4 linked regions of the Drosophila melanogaster genome follow. The protein of the gene in region 3 interacts with the protein of the main gene of each other region in a biochemical or structural test. Each region holds a gene or a part of one and is shown on either strand. Other genes may lie near its edges.

Region 1 (5,909 bases), 6.4 Mb from region 3:
TTCACAAGACGGCAACAGCAGCAAGTGCACTGCAAGAAAAGTGCTTCGATTTTGAAATGATCAGATGAATGTTGAATTTTTCTTTCTTTAAATTTACTTTAAAAACCATTTCTATTAGCAATACCATAAGCCAAAACTTACTTAGTTGAATTGAAATGTGTGATACTTTTTTTTCTCCGTGCACCCACCTCTGCGTCATCTCTGTGTCCCAGGGATGCGGATGGAATCGCAGGGGAGCTGGGAGTCGGCAAAGACCAAACAGCCTGAAAGCCGTCAAATCGCTGCTCATAATGGACGCCTTATCTTTGGAGAATTGCTTTAACTACTACCGGAGTTGGATGTTTTTCAGATACGTGTGACTCGAGAACCGACTGGTCACCATAATGGAGAGCATTAATTTGTCTTAGGCCCGCCAAAGCGGTCGCATAACTGCTTTTGGCCCAGGCACTGCGATATGGCCAAAAACCTGTAAAAACGGAAACGCTGAAGGTTACCGTTGCTCCCCCCCCCCCCGCAAATAGTTTTGCATTTTCTACGGATTCGATGTCTGATTTGTTTATTTTGACCAAAGACTCTTAAAACGAATTAACAATGTATATGATTGCAGCTTGGTTCTTAAACGATCTTATATGTAGCATAGATTAGCTTACAAAGTATATGCACACGTTTCTCACTAATCACAACAGAAGATGACTCCAACTTAAGTATGTTTACCAAATATTTCTTTCAATAGGCCAAAATGGCTGAAATGCTGAAGCTATTTCTTTTCGTTGAGGTTGAAGGCCTTGGTGATGTTGTGGGTGTGCTGGAGCCAACGGGTTGCGAGGCCACAGGACTAACAGGCGCGACAGTTGGCGCATATGTGGCTGGTGGCATTGGCAGAATCTGCGGAGGAACTCCACCAAAATAGGCAGCTGCAATGCTGGGCGGCAATCCGGCAGCTCCACTGGGTCCATAGCTCAAGTGATGGCGGAGATACGGCGACATAGGATTGGCAACTGGATGAGTTGCTCCATAGTAAGCTGGCGAAACACTACCCGTTGAGTCCTGCTCAAAATCCTGGCGCTGGCGCTTCGCCTGCGGAGAATCGCAGCTGCTCACACTGGAGCCATCATCCTCCGACTCCAGCGTCGAGTTTCCGCTGCTGTTCAGCTTCCTTTTGCAGCGGGATTGACCCGACTCGCGGAAACCCTTAGCGAACGGATTGTTATCGATCTTCAATTTGGTGATGCGATCGTTCTGCAAGCATGAGAACAAATTTATAAATTAATTTAAGCACATAAATGATTAATTACTATCAGTTTTTATACAACAATGAATTCTTAAAACGAATTAGCTCTAAATGTATTACTTTTAACACTTGAATTTTCAATTAGATCGTAAAAAGGAACAATAAATAAATTTACGGCCTTATAAAAAAGATTTGCAGATTAAATAAATATGTAAAAAAACGCGTAGTTTTAAATCTAATTTAAATAGTATGAAAAACGATCTCTATTGTTTTTGTCTGGTCGAAATTTAAACTACGAGGCGTCAGTAAGTAGCCGTCGGCTGGGAGGGCACTTGAAAAGTTCCACTGTGATCCTCGTTAGGATCAAACTCAAGTGGCTGGCTAGGCGACAAATTTGAAAATGCCTCAATTAGGCGACGACCCCCGCAGAGTCTTTGTCCTGTCAGACATGTCCTCAATGGAGGACGGAAAGGATGTTGTCTTTAACCCACCTGATAGGCTGTGACAGCTACGAACTCCGTCTCCGGGAAAACGAACGCCTGCTGAGGAGCCCATGGAAGTTGGGTGAGCTCGCTGCTGCGGATGATGTGCAGGCGTGGCTGGTACTTATGCATGCTGGCCAAAACGATCTGGAAATGTTAATGGAAACTATAAGTAACCCATTCAAAAGATACACTATGAGCTCACTCAAACTTACATGTCCGCTGCTGTCCAGTGTATTGTTGGTCAGTTTGACCTTGTTGAAGAGCAATGCCTGGGATTGCCAATGGGCACCGGTCGCCGGACTGTCCGGATGCAGATACATGCGCTGCGGACTCTGGGGCTCGGCTCCTCCGGCCGGAACCCACTGGGAACCGGAGAACTTGTAGCGGCAATCGCCAATGGGCACCATCTCGAGGAGTACGCAATAGCTGGCCTCCTCCTCCAGTCCGCTGAGGGAAACTCGCATCGAGGGGAACATGCGTCTGTAAGGATGAAAAGAATAGGACTTGATTAAGTGGCCTGCCACGAACTGCATATAAATCAGGGAAGGAGCATCGCAAAAGAAGGCGTCGCCCGGGCATCTATTCTATTTTACTTCATATCGCCTGTGATTTGTTGCCCCGGCTAACAAGTGTGTAATTATGGACCGAAAAGTAGAGGGCAGCGGGGAGTCTGCGTAGCGCAACGCATCGATTTAAAAGGTAACGCAAACAGATCTTGCCAGCCCAAAACAATATGCCAACGGCACATGATTAATTGTGTGGATCGTTGGTTCATGGAGGAGCACGGGGAGCAACAGAGTGCTGGAGGAGCTGGGGCAATCTGGCGCCAAGCAATTAGACAAAATCTGGGAGTCGCCCTAACGGCTTCCAAGCGTCGAATGCATGTCTAATGAGCCGAGAAAGTGACTGTTATCGCGGATTAAACAGCACAGAAAAATAATATTTCTACTGGATATTAATCATTTTCAATAAAATATTACGAAATATATATATATATAACAAATATATATTTATGTTCAAGATCTCTTGATTTCTATGATGCCCAGCCATATTCTAAGCCTTGGCCAAAAATAATGCTTGTAGTTGCACGATTTCTTTCCGTGTACATTTGCAACTTAAACTTCGAGTTCAGATCATAATTATGTAAATTTGTCTCGGCTCCCGCTCGGTAGTCGCTGTTCGATAGTTCCCCTATCTGAGATACGCTAGGGTCTGGTCTCATCGCTTTGGAGAAGGGTCACGGACAGGGCATGGAATGGTATGGTATGGTATGGTATGGTGGTATTGTGGGCAAAGTGTGAAAAGCGCAGGTAGATCGACCAAACCCGATTGTCAACGCCGAAACCGAGAGAAGAAAGATTTTTATGATCGGACCGGCGCCAGGGCGGCGTCTTGCTCTTGTGTTCTCCTCCGCCGACTACACTGCACTTGTTGTCACTCCGAGCGAGAGCTCCTGCTGCGTTTTGAGTTATGGCCAGGCGCCACATTAGGCCCGGGAAATCGAAAGGTTCAGGGTATAGGCATACTCGTACTCGTATGAGATAGGAATTGGGAAAGTTGGCCCTGGTACAGGAGCAAATATTTACATAGGCCGTGCGACGCACTTGACTTTTGGAAAAACTCGGGCTATTTGCATAGGATAATGGGTTCGCGGGAAAATGAAACTTACCGGCCGCTCTTTGTGATGATCATCTCGGTGCCGATTTTATGGAACTGTTGCCACAAATCGTTGTTCTCCAACTTGGCCTCCACGCCGGGCAGGGTGGGACGACTGGGCAGCATCATGTGCGGCTGCTGGTGGGGCATGTTGAAAGGTAACATCGATGGAAAGGGATCTGGAAGAAGCGGTTTGGTTAGTTCATTAGCATGGGTTTGCAATGGACCTCTTCAGGGAGGTGGGTGTTGCAGAAATCATATTTCTAAGTTAGCTGGAATTTCGCTATCTATTGTATTTTATCGGAATATAATACCTATTAAGATATGTTCAATCAAAGATTGAAAATAAAGGCAATGCAGTTATGACCACAATTTCTAGTTATAATGATAAGTTAAATTGAAGTAGAATATTTATTGCTCATAAAATCCGAAGCACTAATAATAATCACAATATTAAAACACTTTTAAGTACGCTCTTTTGGGTTGCATATATTTTCTCATATTTTTTAGTTTGAAAATCGCGAAACCATTTGCCGACGGCATTCGATCAACACCCATAGACCTTATGTCTAGAAACGCACCTGGAATCCGCTGCATGATCTGCTGGCGGTAGATCTCGTGGGCCAGCTGCTGCTGCATCCGCATATCCATTAGCTCTTGCATGGAAAGCATTTCGAAGCACTTGCACGGTGTATAGCACTTGGTAAAATGTCTTAGTACGTTCTGATAATAACTGGTAGTTTGGAATTCTTCACTGTTATTCACTCGCTCGTAACTGAAGATGCGCTCTGAGGTTCTTTCACGCTCGACGTTTCGCAACGAACTGATCTCGAGTAGCTCCGCTCGAGTGCTAACTCGCCGTGGGTCGCAGCCAGTTTTTCCCGATGCCAAGCAGGTAGCAGCTACGCTTGGAAAACCGGTTCTCCGTGGGCAGCGCCTGTGATTGGCTGGCGGAAGACGCCTACGCTATGTGGGTACTAGTGTTGTCCCACTCTGGCGAAGATCGGTGGATCGACGGTGGGCGCCATTTTGTGAGCAGCGGAGGAGCGGGAAAAGCGAACTGCGTGCAGCCGAGTGGCGAAGTTAACGCTTAGCCCTGTTGATTTTCATCAGCCGCAGTGTTTTTCTGCGCCACTGCCTTCAAGCCGCATTCCCTGTCTCCCTCTCGATCACTGTCAGTTAGGAGACTTGGATATATGTATGCATGTATGTATATGGATGTGGATTTAGCCGGGCTATGGCGTTGCTTGTAATTCAGAAGTGAGATTTTCCACAGCGCGCCTGTCTGCTGTCTTCAGCTGCCGTTGCCTTTTCTTCTCCTCTCGGTTTATTCTTTTTTTTTCTTGTGTGTCTGTTTCGTTTTTATGTTTTTTTGTTGGTTTTGGCGCTGTCGGAAAATGTCCGTTGCCATTTCCATTGCAGCCGTCTTCCGTTTGGGCGCTGTCCCTCCGTCGTTTGCCATGCCCCCGTGTAATTAGCTGGGTTCCCTATCTTCGACATTGTCTGGCATTTCTCGGGTATTTATGTACTTTGCTGCAGACAGGTGAAACATAAATTTTGTTGGCTTTGTTAATTGCCCGTTTTGGAATTTCGATATGCTATGCCCTCGCTATTGATTTGCCCAAAAAAAAAAAAAACTGAGAAATGGAAAATCGAAATTCATATAGTTTTTGGGCTCTGGCTCGAGGGCCTATTGATTAGTGCTTGTCAGCATTGGAAATTGAGGGCTTAAGTGCCTGCGGGTGGAAGTAGATTGAAATGCACATTCCTATATTCACAGGAAGTATTATAATTGATACTTAGTGAGCCATTGATCATTTAAAACACATTGGACTGAAATACGTTAACGAATAGCTATATTATTCTAAAATATATTAAGACTTACTTACTTACTTAACTTAACTTATTCATCAACGCAAATTGAAAACATGCAATGATTTGTAATTTAAAGAAAAAGGAATAACTTAAATCCAATTTATTTGAAACACCATTTTTATAGAACTTAATTTTTAAATGGTTCTTTATCATTTCCCTTATTTCTTGTGGTCTGAACAAATTTTTGTATTTGGATAAAATAGAAACAATAACTCTGTGAAGATTTATTTGCGATTTTTAGTACTATTACTTTTACTTTAATTACTACTTTAATCAGTTGAACTAATTATAGAATTTGATTAGTTATCTATCGATTTTCTTTCAGGACAAGCTACATACAATTTGGTTCAAATGCCATTGATCTTGAACTTGATTCAACTCATAAGTGCATTCATCAGACAAATCTGTCGACAGACATGCGTTTATTTCCTTGACTCGTCGCCAGCAAATAATTTCAAGCTTGAGTTCGCATTCAGTGGACTAGAAAGAAAGTCAATGTCGAAGAGCCTCTATTAAATTAGCATTTCGCTGTCGCCCTGGCACGCTCTTCCGAGTAATGCCCATTCCCATGTCCCAGTCTCCACTGCAACTCCGGATCCGGACGAGACGGCATATCTCCGGTGCTTGGCCAGCTGATGATGATGACTGGAGATTTCTGGCAG
Region 2 (4,876 bases), 8.0 Mb from region 3:
AAGCGAAATTAGATGAAAATTTCAGATATCGATAACAAGTGCCAGGGGGGGTGGGGAGAGGGAAATGAAGTGAAAAGGGGAAGGAGAAACGAGGAAGAGGAAGAGCGCAGCGATACTGCAAAGCCGTCGACTTTTGTTGCTCCACTTGCACAAACAAAAACGCACGAAAAGACGAAAAGAGAATTTCGGCTATCGAGCAAGCTCCCCTAAACTCACACACACAAACACAGACACTGGCAAACTCACCTGCAAACTCAGGTAAATCGACACGCGTGTGTGTGTGTGTGTGCGCGGGTGAGTGGTACCTGTGTGGAGCTGACACGGCAACAAACAAAGGTAACGCTAAAATCTACAGCGATAAATCTAGAAACCGGGCATTCTAGTTCCCAACCTACCAGATATATTTTAACTCTTTCGATTCACTTTTTCCATGGCTAATTGGTTGGAGCTACTAATTATCAATTAATTACATTCGCATTTTATAGATATGTATATTTTATTTTGTTCTACAAATGTGTAAGACTTATTATTTGCATTCTATTTGATTTTGCCTCATTGAAATTTATAGAAGTTCAAAATTCTTATCAATCATTGATTTTACGATAATACTTGGCAAAGATAAGAATTCGCATAGCTAAAAACTCATTTTCTTGAAATAAATCTTATTACAAATTGAATTACCGATGGTTTAATAGTTTGGAAATAGGTTCAGCGAACTTTTAACTCCTCTTAACTTTCGGATTTCACCTGATCCGCTGTGAACTAGTTCAGATATAGCCACCCCTCCCCCACCCACAGAGAAACCAAAACAACAACAATTGCAATTACAGCAACACCAACTAAACTATTGCAACAAGCAAGAACAACAAAAACTACTAGAAATGCGGGTCTGGGTCGTAAAATCGAGACCAAAAGCAGAGAGCAAAGGAGCGGAGAGAGGAGGAAAGGCGAAGAGAAGTGCAAAGCGGTGGCAGAGGAGGATGGGGAGACTCGACGAGACGTCGAGAATGCAGTGCACATAAAGAATGCCAAAATAAGTTTAAAACTAACGACGAACCGGGTTTTAGTGCGTGCGTCTGTATGCGAGTGTGTTTGTGTGTGGGAGCGAGACAGCCAGCAAGGTGGTTTTTTGTATGGCTGTGTATTTGTATTTTGGAGCATGCAACATTGCCGAAAAATGCGTGCGCTGCGGGATGGTTGAGAAAGAGAGAGGGGGGAACCCCAAAAATGAGAGAACCGAATGGGAGAGAGAGTTTGCGAAACAAGTGCATTTCTGCATGAGTGTATGTGTGCGGGGGGTAATTTTCGAGAAATTAACAAGTGTTGCAAAGCTCAAAAAGTGCGTGCGGGTAATTAGCAAGTATAAATATGTAAAACAGAATCAAATACAAAACGAATGGGAAAAAGTTCATTAACACAGTTAACATAAAAGACCGCCAACAAATCTCATTCATAAGCGAGAAATGTGTGTATAGATAACGGGAACGGAAAGAAAAACGAACAGCGGCGACAACCCCTTCCGAATACAAAAAGGAAAAACCGCGGCAACCCAGTCGAGCGACACAGGAAAAAAAGTAGCAGCTGAGACAAGCTCCTAAGCATGGCGTCCCAACAACAACAGATAAAAGCTGTAAAAATTGTCAATATAGAAGAAAGAAAGGCAGGCTGGCTAGCAGCAGCAACAACAATAACAGGAGGGGGGGGGCAGAAGAAGAAGCAGCAGGCTTTGGAGCTTTGCGAAATAATGCGCGAGAGTTAAAGAAGAAGCCGCCAACGCCAACTGCGACGTCGGCAGAGCATTTTTAACGAGCCGAATGACAAGCGCACACAAACAGAAACACCAACACACACAACGGCACTTATGCAGATGCATACAGTCGAGGGCGAAACCATAGCAGTAAGATCAGAGCGTAAACATTGAGAAAATTAATAAATTCAAATTAAAAATGTGTGTTAAATATTACCTTAAAAAACTATTGAAGTGTTTGGCGTTTAGTAGTAATTCATATTACTTTCATTGTTTTGATAACAATACATATAAGTATTTAATTCTAGTGCCAATCATTAAGCTATTGTACATTTTATAGTTTGTTTTGTAAGACAGTTTTAACAACCAACTTTTGGGTTTTATGACTTTTCTTAATTGCCACTATTGCATTGACCTCGATTGTTCAAACACACAACCACACGCACACAAGGAGGCGCACAGATGGGCGACATGCATACGAGACGCCGCAGCAGCAGACCGGTTGAGGTTAAATTGGATAGTGGCAGTGAGAGAGAGAGCGGGGCGAACGAGAGAGAGCGATTGGAGATGGAGCATACATATACATATTGAATTTTTCCTCTTTGGCGTAATGAAAATTTTAGCACTGTTTTGGGGCAAGAAAACGGGGGAAAAAAACAAGAAAACTTACCCGCGTGTGAAAATCCGTTAGTCGGTGGCGCCTCTGCCGCTGCGCTGCTGCTGCGGAACTCCTCTCGATTTTTCCAATTTCGCATGCACAAAACTATTTGGATTTCACTTAATTAATTACACTGCTTATGTACCACCTTATATATGCACTTATGCGTTGGTATGTATGTATATACGCCTCACCAACACACTTGCAGCCCGCGCTCTGCTGACGTCGACGCCGCTGCCTTTTTGCGGCTACTTTTCGAAATATTTTACACGCACTGCAGAATATACTTTGTTTTATATAAATATTTTTGTTTGTCTTTTACTTTGCTGTAAACTTTATACGCAATTTGTTTACTATTTCAAAGAGAGAGTGAAACACACAAAGACATAGACACACACGTACACACACACAGATAGGCCGCTTTAAGCATTCGTGTGCGGCATTTTATTAATCCACGTCGATTTGTTTGTAAATAGATAACGATACGATATTGTATTGTATCCGCCGAATCCACAGATAACGACTCGATTTAATTTCAATTGTGCTTTTTCGCCGCTCCGCTCACGCACACTACCTCACACACACAGACGAGACCGCGTAGCACGTCCGAACGATCCGAGAGATGAAAAAGTAAAAAAGTGTTTGTTTTGTTTTCCTTCCTAGCGATGGCACGCGCATCGATGTTGGCTCGATACTTTCGCTGGCGCTTGGGATTATATACTTGCGCTGTTTTTTCTCTTCGGCGCTGGTACGGTCATACCGCGAATTGTACTCTCTGAGATTCGAGTTCGAAAGTACGTTTAGCATATGCAGCAACCAACTAAGAGATAAAATTCGAAATCAAGTTTTTGGCGGGGTTTATTGATATAGAAAATAGACTTCGAATTCTATATCAAAACTACGTTAATCAGCGAAAATTGTAAGTTAAACAAAAAACTATTGAAACTATTGATTATACACAGCGATTTTATATTTCAAAATATCAAACTTGATGGTAAAAGATAAGATTTAAGGTTTTTAAACCTTATTGAATTGCACAAAGTTTTCCGACTGATGCTTGATGTACGATTTGCGACAGTCCATTTCATCAGCAGGACGATTGTGTGGAGCCCAGACAGGTTCGCCCACAAAATAGCGACGAGTTCTGATAAAGTTCTAAGAAAAAACAATACAAATAGTTTAAGTTTGTATATAAGATTGTCAAAATAACTTACATTGGTATCCAAAGTAAAGCGGTGATATATGCCAGCTGGTATAATGATCAGATCTCCCTTGACAACCTTAATGCGCAACCAGTTGTCCTCATTGCTATAAAGAATAAATAGTTTTCCGTTTTAAAACAATTCCAAAAATGTTATTAGTGTGAGCAAAAACAATATCAGTAAGAATATGAATGCTTGAACTATTTAATTGGGAAAATGTGGCTGGGATACTATAAAATGCGGTGTAAATAAACAAAACTTACTCGCGAACATCAAAGTAACCGGATCCCTCCAATATCAGGCGAATTTCCTCATCCGTGTGCAGGTGTTCGGTGAAAAAGGCTTTCAACTTGTTGGCATAGTCTGGAAGGCACTTTTCCGAGCATGTGATCTGTAATAATTCGAAGTTTACCAAAGTTCGGTAGATGTTTTTCAAGAAAACATCGATCTTGCCTCATCATCGTAGGTGTAGCCACGTTTTGCCCTCAGTTCCGTGAGGGTATTATCGCTCTGGTACTCGTCCGCATTGATCTGCAAATGTGAATGATCAAGATAAGCTCGCCCCCAAGGTCACTTAAGGTTTTTAAAGTCGCAATTTCGCTTTTCACTTGCCTTAAAGTATTCCACGCCGGTCTTCTGGTACAGATCATCCAGTTCCAAGTAGGCAGGCGGATTGCGGTGGTGCTCCAGGCGCTGATCGGTTTCCTCCGTATCCATATACCAAACCTGCACCATTTTGGACTGTTTTAAACGGGTTTTCACGAGCAACGAGCAACAAATAGATTAAACAAGAAAAATTCAACTGGCATCAGCTGTTCGTTTTCGAATTTTCGAAATCGATAACAGACACTCAGGCGAATGCCGCTAGTGCTGTTAACTTAACATTCGAAAATGAATGCTGTTAGTTTTGTGTTCGAAATACTGCTATTTTAAAAACTTCATTTTTGAAATGTTCGATTTAAAACGTAAAATAACCATAATTTTAATAACCTTCAAAAGGAGTTATTTTTCTATTTTTTTTTTGTTCCATTATTACTCTTTATTATTTTACGATAGATATACGATTTTTGGGCAGTTTGTTGTATGTTTTGACTTTAATTGAATTTGTAGCGTGCAATTTTGCCTTTCGTTACTATTATCTAGTTTAATTTGTGTAGACATCTGACAGTTTGGTACTAACAATCTTTTAGTACGCGAAAATGCTAGGTTTCTGGTTTTATGTTACATTTATTGGCGTTACAAAGGAGCACAGGATTACGCAGTCAGTTT
Region 3 (4,960 bases):
ATATCGAGTAAATTAGCCAATTCATATTTTCCAGTGCAAATTTACAAAGTTAAGCGGAAATTACTGTGGCAGTTGGGTCTTAATATCTTAGAGGTGAAGTCAATTGAATCGAAAGTAAAGATACAAGATACTAATTTAAGAGATTGATCGCATGTATCAAAAAGGACTTTACCACATTTCTTCTAATCAAGTGATTAAATTATAAGATATTAGGTATCAGAGTTTAGATAATCCTGTTGTCCGAGGACTTTCTCTAGCAGATTTCGGACTTTGATCAAGATTTAAGATCAATCTGTATTGGGATTGAATATCAAACCCAACTAAGAACTCACAATTGAAATGGAAAAATGTAACATTAGATACATTAAAAAAAAGAAGAAAATAACATAAAATTTCACCACAAATATTCGGTTTTGAGTCACTAATATTTTTCCAAGTAGTATGATTCACGTAAAGTACATTACGTGATAATAATAAATATAATTAGTATGCTAATAATTTACTTAAAACGTGTAACACTTATTTAAAAAACATAAATTTGGAAAAGCTTTAGGAAAAAATCATGTTGTAGGAATCTAAGGGATCTTTAAAGAATTCTATAATTATTTTTACGATCGACGTGTCAAAACCATGATCTAATCTCAATGATTCATTTCTAAATAACAATAAATCAGCAATACATGCATATGTTTAATGCAAAAACTCAAATATATACTATATCATATCAACTTGAGTATACAGTTTAGTTCTTTGGTGAAAAATCTACAATCTATGATGACAGCGTCATTGCGAGTTGGATTTTAACACATACATATGGAAACCCCATTATTAAACTCATAAATTCACATGGCAACAAAGAAATACAAAGCATAGTTAACAATCATTTGCTGTTTTTGACCTGAATTTCTCACCTTAATCATTCGCTGCAGGTTAACTTGGTTGGTTCAACTTATAGCCAGATAACTAAGGTGTGATCTTCAATCCTCGGCAGTCTCGTCCTCCTCGTCCTCGTTGAAGGACAGCTTACTACTGGCGGCCTTGGACTTCTTGCTCTTGGATGTGCTGGATTTTTCGGACTTCTTGTTGGTTTCAGATTGGGACTCTTTTTTCTCGATGTTGGGCTGCTTGACACAGTGTTTGAAGACTATTGGCTGCGTCAGATCCGCTCGCTTTTCGGCTAATTCTGGAAGATTGAAAATGGGAGTTAGTTATGGGTCAGCAATCATCTGTACTTATTATGATCGTAGTAAAGCGTGTAAGTAAACACCTATTTACAAGTTAAATGGAGTATTTAAGTTATATAAACTATCTTAGAATGAAAAATATTTTGGGGAAAGTAGTATGCACAAATTTAGGGAGAAAAATGCCAATACATATATCAAAGCTGATATAAATAAAATAAATTTAAAAATTGCATTAACTAAAAGGAATACAAGAAAGTTTTTGAAAATTGATCTGCTTATAAAATTGCCAGGAAGGTGACTAATATGCCAGCAATTCATTATTGGATTGGAAAATGTATCTGGGTTTTAAAAACTGCAGCATGACAAATGGGGAGGAGGGAGGTGTAAATCAGAACAAGCCACCCACCGACCCCCCCCTTTTCCAAGCAGCACCCACAAGATGTTTTTCTCGGCCCTGGGAAGCCCCTTCTCGCCCGACGCTCCCGCTTCACTCCCCCTCCCGCTCCACCCACTGATTCGCAACCCGCCCCCGCTGTTCCGCCAGCCCCTTCTTCAACGCCTACCCCCTCCCCGCAGCGCCTTTGCCACCGCCACCACGTCGTCAAGCCACTTTGGCCCGCTCTTTTCCTCTTTGCTCGCCTGCTTCGTTCATCATTGTCTCTCCGCTTTGCCCGCCTCCTTCATCCGTTCGTTCTTGCACACGTTGTTTTCACCCGATTTTCTGCGCTCTTCCAAGTGGGGCTGAAAGGGGCAGGGGGGCGAGCGGAAGAGGCGGACAAAGCGAGCGGCGGCAGCTGCTGTTGTTAACTTCTTTGCCGGCTGCTTTATCGCCGCGCCCGCTTTGCCAACGATTTTCATCACATGCTCTGCTTTGGCGGAGCCCCCAATGAAAATGTCAGTGTGTATGCCTCGTCGGCTAGCTGCTGCGGGTGTGTGTGTCTGTGTGAGGGGTGCTCCGCTGGGCAAAAAAGGGAATCTTTAGGACGGAAATGACCAAGATTGCCATGGCAACATAGGGCTTTAAAAAGATTGAAAAACCGAAGGTGCTTTTCGAAAAAAAAAACACATACTTCTTGCAACAAACTGCTGTTTTCGCACTACCGTTAGATTTTCATTTGGCAAAAATGCACAAGCACACGCGCGCACTCATACATAAGCAACGGTATATACGCAGTTATGTATATATACATATATGATTTAGATATATGTAACGCCGGGCAGAAGAAGACAACCGCTCGATTCTGACTGAAAAGTTAAACTGAAAGACAAACTACAACATCCTACCTACGCACACACGTGCAACTGCCGCCGCCGCCACCGTGGGCTATATGCATGTGTGTGTGCGTGTGCGAGCGTGTAAGTATGTATGTACTACAGCGATATGTATGTATGTATGCTTGTACATATGTACCGACCTTTGGAGGCCAACAGTTTCTCCGTTTTGGCCTCTTCGGCGGATAGATCTCCCGGCCTAAGGACGACCACCTGCGGCTGTTCGTCCTCCCGTGAATCTTCCTCAGAATCGTAGTCCTCCTGGTCCTGCGGATCCAATCGCTGACGCTAACCAATGGTTATATATCCGCATTAGAATGCTGCAGAGGCCTTCCCCGTAGAACTCACCTTGGTCTCTACGGTGGGTCCCTCCTTGTAGCCAATTTCAGCCTTCAACTTGGCCAGAAAACTAGGTTCTTGCGGCTTTACGTACGTTATGTTGCGCTTGGACATATCAGATATGGCGGCTATATCATTGCACTTCTTGACCGATTTAGCAGCGGTTTTTGCACTTTTTATTTACCACAAATGTCGATAAGAAAAACATATGCTTATCGAGCAGTGTGGGAAAGCGCGCGTTGACAATACTAAATCGATTTCAACTGCTATACTTTAAAGTAACGTAAGACAATTGTAAATCCAGTTTTAATAGTTATAATGTTAAAGTTTAAGCTTGCTCTTTTAATATTATTAGTCCCAATTTTTGAGTCCTTGATATTTATCGATAGCACCGATAAGTAACAGCTGTACTGCCGTGTGCATAGTGCTGCCTGAAAACCAATTGTAGATGGGCAGCACTGTTAGGCAAAAGCGGTTACTTTTTGAAAATGCTTACTGTTGATAAAGAGTTAATATTTCTTAAAAATTTCTATAAATATATAATATTTATCCTATTATTTTTGATGCATTTCTTTAAGTATCTTAAGTTCCCATTTCCAACTGGCATTTCCGCTGAGAAAACCGATTGCCCCGAGACGTGCCATCAATTTGCGAATCCTCGCTGCCAATCAAAAAATGGGCGCATAAAACTGTCGCATAACTTGCAAATTTTCCGCTTCACCTGGAATTCCGTGCTCCAAAACAGAAATTTGATCGCTTCTGACAGCAAAACAATACACAGCGGCATTCATCAACGTCAGTGGCTTCCATTTGCAATGTCGTATGCACAGACTCCTCCTCGATTGAAGCCCCCTATTCGTTCCTGGGAACATAATAAATCATCTGCAAATTGATTTCAAAACTTCGACAGCTAACCAAAAAAGAGCTGCCGAAAAAAAAAGGCAAATGAAAACTGCAGCAAAGCGGAGAAATTTTATGAGCTGCAGCATATGTTGGCAAAAACACAAATAGGATGCACTGAGAAAACAGCGTTTCATATATTTAGTTTAGTTATAAATAAAATACGTGAGAGGAGCTAAACAAAAGTTTTTTTTTTTTGGTTTTTTTTTTGCATAAACCCAAACAAATATCTGTAGACTGACAGATAGAGAAGAATTAAATTAGTGTCATATCCAGTGAAAAATATGACAATAAAACATAAATTTATATTTCAAATATATTCCTTTTGTTTTTCCGTGAACGAATTCCCCATGAAAAACTCCGATTTCTGCATTCTGGCACGCGGCAGCAGCTTTTCCCCCGAAGGATTTTCGTCGGTCCCCGAACTAATATCAAATTGATAGCTTTTAAATTTGATTTCGCGTCTTATCACCGACCGCTTAAGCGAACAGTTTCGGAGCTGCAGCCCCCAATCGCTACGCAATCCACAGCGATGGTTGGAAAAACAAATGGAGTGTGGCCGGGTGGAGGGAGCACCCCCTCATGCATTAAAAATGAGGATGGCAGGGCATTTGATGCTGTGCAAGTGCAACGTGGCGTATGCTTGTTGTGTTTTGTTTTGCTCGCTTTGCGTCCGCATTGAAAATACATTGAAAATGCCGGTGCAACACAAGTGTTTCGGCCTTGATACGGATACGATGCTATATGCTGGATATAGAGTCATCCATCCGACCGTCCCATTCAGAATCCATAGGCTTCAAGTCACATGCCGGCCAACTAATATCGAGCACTCTTGAGAACGCAGAGCCTCAGGAAAATGTTATCACAGTCTGCATCCGGCACGGAGTCCTCCGCCTCTGCCGAAGTGCAACTCGGCGATTCGGTTCAAATTCCGCTTTACAGTCTCTGCTCCTCGGCGCTCAGATGCTAGTCGGCATTTGGCGCGTGCAGTTCAGTTCAGTTCACTCGGTCGAAAATTGCCCGGACTCGTTTAATAGCGGAATATCGTTCTAAAATTAAACATTTCGCGGAGGCACTGAGAGAAAACTATCGCTCGAATCGCTAGTAATTCGGTAATTTTGCTTAGCAAAGCGAGGACCAGAAATAGGAAGAAAATATTTGTTAAAATAAAAAAAATAGTTGTCTAATGCCCAAAACAATAGTGTTGGAAAACAAATGAACAAATTTGTAAAATCCAAGATAGTATTGAAGAAAAAAAGAATTTT
Region 4 (4,939 bases), about 17 Mb from region 3:
CTCGAACGATGCGCGTCAAATGTCAAAATCAAGAAGAACAACAAAAACCATTATCGAAGCGACCTAGTGTTGTTCTACTTGAGAGAGCGTTTTTTGAATAAAAATGAACGTATTTGAAAGCTAAAATAATATTTACTTTTCCTATTTATGTTTCATAGTTTTGTGGACTTTAAGCGCAAGTAAACTTTTTCGAAATGCCAGCACACACATACCATTTACCAATTATACAAGCATATATATTTATAAAGATATGTATATGTATATACATGGCGGATATAAAAAAGCACCACTTGTTGTTGACTTGATTGAATGCAGTGCGTGCGAGCGGGATGGCAAGTTGTGTTTCGCCAAAGCAAGGTAAGATCGTCACCAATACACCAGTAACTGCAGCTCACATACACACACAGTATACTTTCACTTCTTGTATTGAATTTTTGATTTTATTTGTGCTGGCGCCATGTTGTTGTTGTTAGACATGGGGTTTTAAGCAGATTTATGCAGTCGGCAACAGCGAAGCTTTTGATAAAAAAATGACAAGAATGCTCAGATTAACAACGAAAAAATCAAATTATTTGGATCTTTTGAAGATACAAAGTTGCGGTAATGAATGTCATTATTATTAATACATTTGATCGATATGTGCTTTAATTGCATGAAACATTGAAACGGTGTCAAATGCCATTGCGTATTTCTTGCTGTGTACGTAGGAAAAATGCATACGTCATTGCCGAAACCTTCTTATCCCTCTCACACCCTTTTATTGTTGCATTACTGCATAAATAGTGGCACTCATACATGTGCATCGTTTTAGCCTTTTGTAATTTATGCGATGTCGCATTACTCTTGATTGTTTACTTGTGGTAGAGTAATCGGAAATCGGATGGCAATGTTAAAGTAAACAATTTTAAAGACAGCATAGCGCAGCAAATCATAAAAATTATCACAGAACCGGCAAATGGTGAAATTAGGAAGAAGAAAAATGGGGAAGAACCAACGTTGGCTGACGTCACAAACGTGAGGGAAAAGACAGAGCGAATTAAGCATCCTCCTATCGATGTATCGAAGGATAACGGCAGCGAATCCAATTAGAATGAGCACCGAAGGACGGGGAGGGGAACGTGTTAAAATTAGACATTGAATTCTACTCCCACGCTATTTCTCTAGGATAACTTCCTCACGCACGCACACCGTATACATATACATACACACGCCCACAGTGCAACAGCGTCGAACGGAGAAGCAGAAGAGAGGCGAATGAGGGCAGGGACAGAAGAGAGAAGAGGCCTGTAGACAGAAGAGGAACAGCTGCGAACGAATTAACATAAATTGTATGCAAAATTGGGGTGGCTATGGATACTGCTGCTTTTTGTTACACAGCGGCGGCATATTGTTTATCAGTTTTCCTATGAACTACTACTACATTCCAGCAATTTCCTCGCGAGACGGGCACCTTCCCATCCCATCCCTTGGCATCGTCTCTTTTCCACACTCTACTTTTCTCCTTCTTCATCTTACTTGTGTGTTGGCATATTTTGATTAACTCGTTAAAAAGACTATACTTTAGTTGTTTTGCAGGCACTTCGGTAGGATTGCATTGGTAGCTATATTTTTGTTGTTGTTTTTAACTAAATTTAATTTAAACGCGTCGGGTTTCTGTGAGTTTTTTTTTATCATATACGTTGGAGCGACAGAGACGGGGCGACGGCGACGTTTGGCTGGAGCGCGCGTGCATAACACGCACACACACAGAGACGCAAGTACGCGAGAGAGTGGAGAAATCAATCAAGAGAGCACGTCGGCGAAGGGGGAGTGGAAAAAATCACATATGTATGTGCGTCAGTGGAAGTGCGACAAGATTTTCCACAATATTCCACGCATCTTTGTTTCGTTTCTTTAGATATATGCACATATTGCTTCGTTTTCTTTTTGCATTGCTTTCTTACACAATTTATAATATATATATGCATATTTTGTGGTAATTTCAGGTTTTTATTTTTTGCACACACTTTTCATCATTCTTTTTTCGCTTTTCCTTCAGTTGGATATATTACGCACTGGATTTGTGGCTTTACACTGGCAATCGGTAGGCGGTGGCGAGTAATGCACGTATTCCCCTTAATTAACAGTTTTCTCTACAATTAATAATGTAATCTCTTTAACAAAAACTCAGAAATCACGTCATGGCTGCCACGTCCAAGCAACAATGAATGTAAATGGTGGCAGATGAGGCCGTCTGGGCATTCTCGACTAGCTCCAAAAGGGGCACACTATTTTTCTGGTGATACCATTGCACAGCCGATGATAACACTGCATATACGGTAACACCACAATAAGTGTGAACTAAAATGAATTTTCCGTATATTACAATTGACACTTGACAATTCACAGGTAAAGTAAACATCTTAATTGCTAAAGAACTTAAGATAAAACTTAATTTTAAAGGATTTACAGAGTATTCCACTCAAAACTTTCGACCAAAACAACCATGTAAAACATATGTTTTGATGAGTGAGCAGGACGTCTATATATTGCCTGCATTCGCGAATGGAGGGAACACAAAAATGCAATAAAAAATATGTGTGGAATGGAGGAGGCGCAAAAGACCCCAAAAAAACGCGCCACACATGTACAAATTTCACCAATTGCTGTAATACAAATAGTTTATAACGAGGTACAGCAATGACAATGACCAATTAGGATAATAGGCAACAATAAACAATGGGAGGGGGACGCAGCACGCTGCGCGGCTTTGCGGCTCTTGAACATGACCACGGTTCTTAGCCTGACCGAGCGACGGTCGGACCGAGTTTTTTTCACGCCGACATTTGGCCGACTGAAACAATGCACTTACCCTGGAAATTATCGTCATTCTCTTCCTCCGATGCCATTGTAGCACTCGAATGCAACTTTTACACTGTTTGAGCACACGAAATTGTCTTAATTTCCACAACAAATAATTAAGCACACACAGACACGACGAGAAAAAAATAGTCAATTGTAAGCGGCTTCAACAAATATGGCGGAGCGGAGAGCGACAAAAAGTGAGAGAACTAGGGTTGCACCCCGATAAAAGAAAGCGAAACGGTCACACTGGCGACATGACAACCCTGACTTTTATGTTTTTTTAACGACCCTGTCCTAACGTGTTTCGGAGAATTTTTCACCAAAGACCAAAAACCTTGTGTATTGTTTTTGAATTGCAAATCGCTGATTTAAGCTCAAGGAATGTGCCAAGCAGTTGGTAAATAACATTTACTTTTTAGTCCGACCCATTTAATTGCGAATTATGTCGTCCATTATCACGCGCAAGGATGGCGACGACCAGAAATTGTCCAAAAAGCGCGCTGCCGCCTCAGATTCCAAAAGTGGTGGTGGAAGCGCCCTTGAAGCGCCCAAGAAATCCCGCTTCGATGTCCCGGAAAAGAATGGCGGCGGTGGTGAGAAGAAAGAAGAGGTCGCCGTGCCCGCCTCGCTGAGTTCCACGCAGATCAAGCTGATGATGGCCCATGCCCAGCGGGAGATCGAGGAACGCAAGCGGGCCCTGAGTAATCTAAGAGACAAGGATCCGCTGCTGGCGTCAGTTCCATCGATCGGAATGCCAGTTGCCTTAGCCACTCAAGCGCTGGCGAAGAAGCCCACGCCCGAGGACTCGGAGAAGGCCAGGAAGATTGCCGAGTTGCAGGCACAGATCAGGGCCAAGCTTACTGGCAATTTGGCTAGTTTGATTCAGCCCACTGCGGTAGCGGCCGCCGCTGCAGCTGCTGCTCAAGCGCAGGAGCGACCCAAACCCCTGATTCTGGACGATGAAGGACGCACTGTGGACAAGAGCGGACGTACCATTAATATTCCCACGGTGACACCTACATTGAAAGCCAACATACGCGCCAAGAAACGGGAGGTGTTCCAACGCCAAACGGGTTTGGGTGAACGGAGTGAATCGGGCACTTCGGCCCAGGAAGAAGCTATTAAGTACTTTGACGACCGCATAGCCCTGAAGCCCACTGTTAGAACCAAGAGGACGTTGAGATTCCACGAGCCCGGAAAGTTCCAGCAGCTGGCCGAACGAATGCGCATGAAAAGCCAGCTGGAGCGACTACAGAATGAGATTTCGCAAATAGCCCGGAAAACGGGCATCTCGTCGGCCACCAAACTGGCATTGATTGCCCCCAAGCAGGACATGCCGGACGATGTGCCTGCCATGGAGTGGTGGGACTCAGTTATACTGACCCAGGATCTGGAGACGGTAGACGACGCAAGCGGTAAGATAAGCATACGCCAAACAGCCATAACCAACCTTATAGAGCATCCCACACAAATGAAGCCGCCAAGTAAGTTGAAAGCTAGAACATGTCCCACAAGCAACTAACCACCTACTCCTTCAGATGAGCCCTTGAAACCAGTGTATCTGCCGGTTTTCCTCACAAAGAAAGAGCGCAAAAAGCTTCGTCGCCAGAACCGTCGCGAGGCCTGGAAGGAGGAGCAGGAGAAGATCCGACTGGGTTTGGTGGCCCCACCAGAGCCGAAACTGCGCATATCCAACCTGATGCGTGTGCTTGGCTCGGAGGCCGTACAAGATCCGACCAAAATGGAGCAGCATGTGCGCGACCAGATGGCCAAGCGGCAGAAGGCGCACGAAGATGCCAACAATGCGCGCAAGCTGACCAGCGAGCAGAAGAGCGAAAAGAAGCAGCGCAAGCTGAGGGAAGACACCAGCTGCGGTGTACATGTCAGCGTCTATCGCATACGAGATCTGCAGGACAACCAGAGCAAGAAATTCAAGGTGGAGACCAATGCCAAGCAGCTGCAGATGACCGGCAGCGTGGTGTTGTTCCGGGATTGCTGTGTGGTTGTCGTGGAGGGTGGGCCCAAGCAGCAGAAAAAGTATCGCAGGCTCATGCTAACGCGCATTAAGTGGGAGGAGGACAACGCCAAGGGCAAT

What was found.
Region 1: the proteins of MEP-1 (region 3) and Doc1 form a complex in vitro, tested with the Drosophila melanogaster proteins (one study listed by BioGRID).
Region 2: the proteins of MEP-1 (region 3) and simj form a complex in vitro, tested with the Drosophila melanogaster proteins (one study listed by BioGRID).
Region 4: the proteins of MEP-1 (region 3) and Mi-2 form a complex in vitro, tested with the Drosophila melanogaster proteins (one study listed by BioGRID).

What each region holds. Positions count from the first base shown.
Region 1 is NT_037436.4:9,039,675-9,045,583, reverse strand, and holds Doc1 (Dorsocross1), read right to left. Parts: upstream 4,210-5,909; 5' UTR 4,045-4,209; coding exon 3,954-4,044; intron 3,756-3,953; exon of another isoform or gene 3,687-3,755; intron 3,552-3,686; coding exon 3,386-3,551; intron 2,197-3,385; coding exon 1,929-2,196; intron 1,861-1,928; coding exon 1,723-1,860; intron 1,240-1,722; coding exon 727-1,239; 3' UTR 542-726; downstream 1-541.
Region 2 is NT_037436.4:10,662,912-10,667,787, reverse strand, and holds the start of simj (simjang), read right to left. Parts: upstream 3,050-4,876; 5' UTR 2,418-3,049; intron 1-2,417. Other genes in the region: Adi1 (acireductone dioxygenase 1), read right to left, coding at 3,423-3,560, 3,620-3,713, 3,871-3,998, 4,061-4,138, 4,220-4,342; CG8003 (uncharacterized protein), read right to left, coding at 4,862-4,876.
Region 3 is NT_037436.4:2,629,761-2,634,720, reverse strand, and holds the start of MEP-1 (MEP-1), read right to left. Parts: upstream 3,007-4,960; 5' UTR 2,910-3,006; coding exon of another isoform or gene 2,805-2,909; exon of another isoform or gene 2,745-2,804; coding exon of another isoform or gene 2,600-2,744; intron 2,447-2,599; exon of another isoform or gene 2,255-2,446; intron 1,184-2,254; coding exon of another isoform or gene 978-1,183; 5' UTR 912-977; intron 1-911. Other genes in the region: CG42245 (uncharacterized protein), read right to left, coding at 978-1,183, 2,600-2,744, 2,805-2,909.
Region 4 is NT_037436.4:19,907,192-19,912,130, forward strand, and holds the start of Mi-2 (Mi-2), read right to left. Parts: upstream 3,025-4,939; 5' UTR 2,889-3,024; coding exon 2,852-2,888; exon of another isoform or gene 2,443-2,851; intron 2,389-2,442; exon of another isoform or gene 2,007-2,388; intron 1-2,006. Other genes in the region: Prp3 (precursor RNA processing 3), read left to right, coding at 3,287-4,328, 4,383-4,939. UniProt on the Drosophila melanogaster protein: ATP-dependent chromatin-remodeling factor which acts in nucleosome-remodeling by catalyzing ATP-dependent nucleosome mobilization. Involved in regulating transcription. Plays a vital role in development.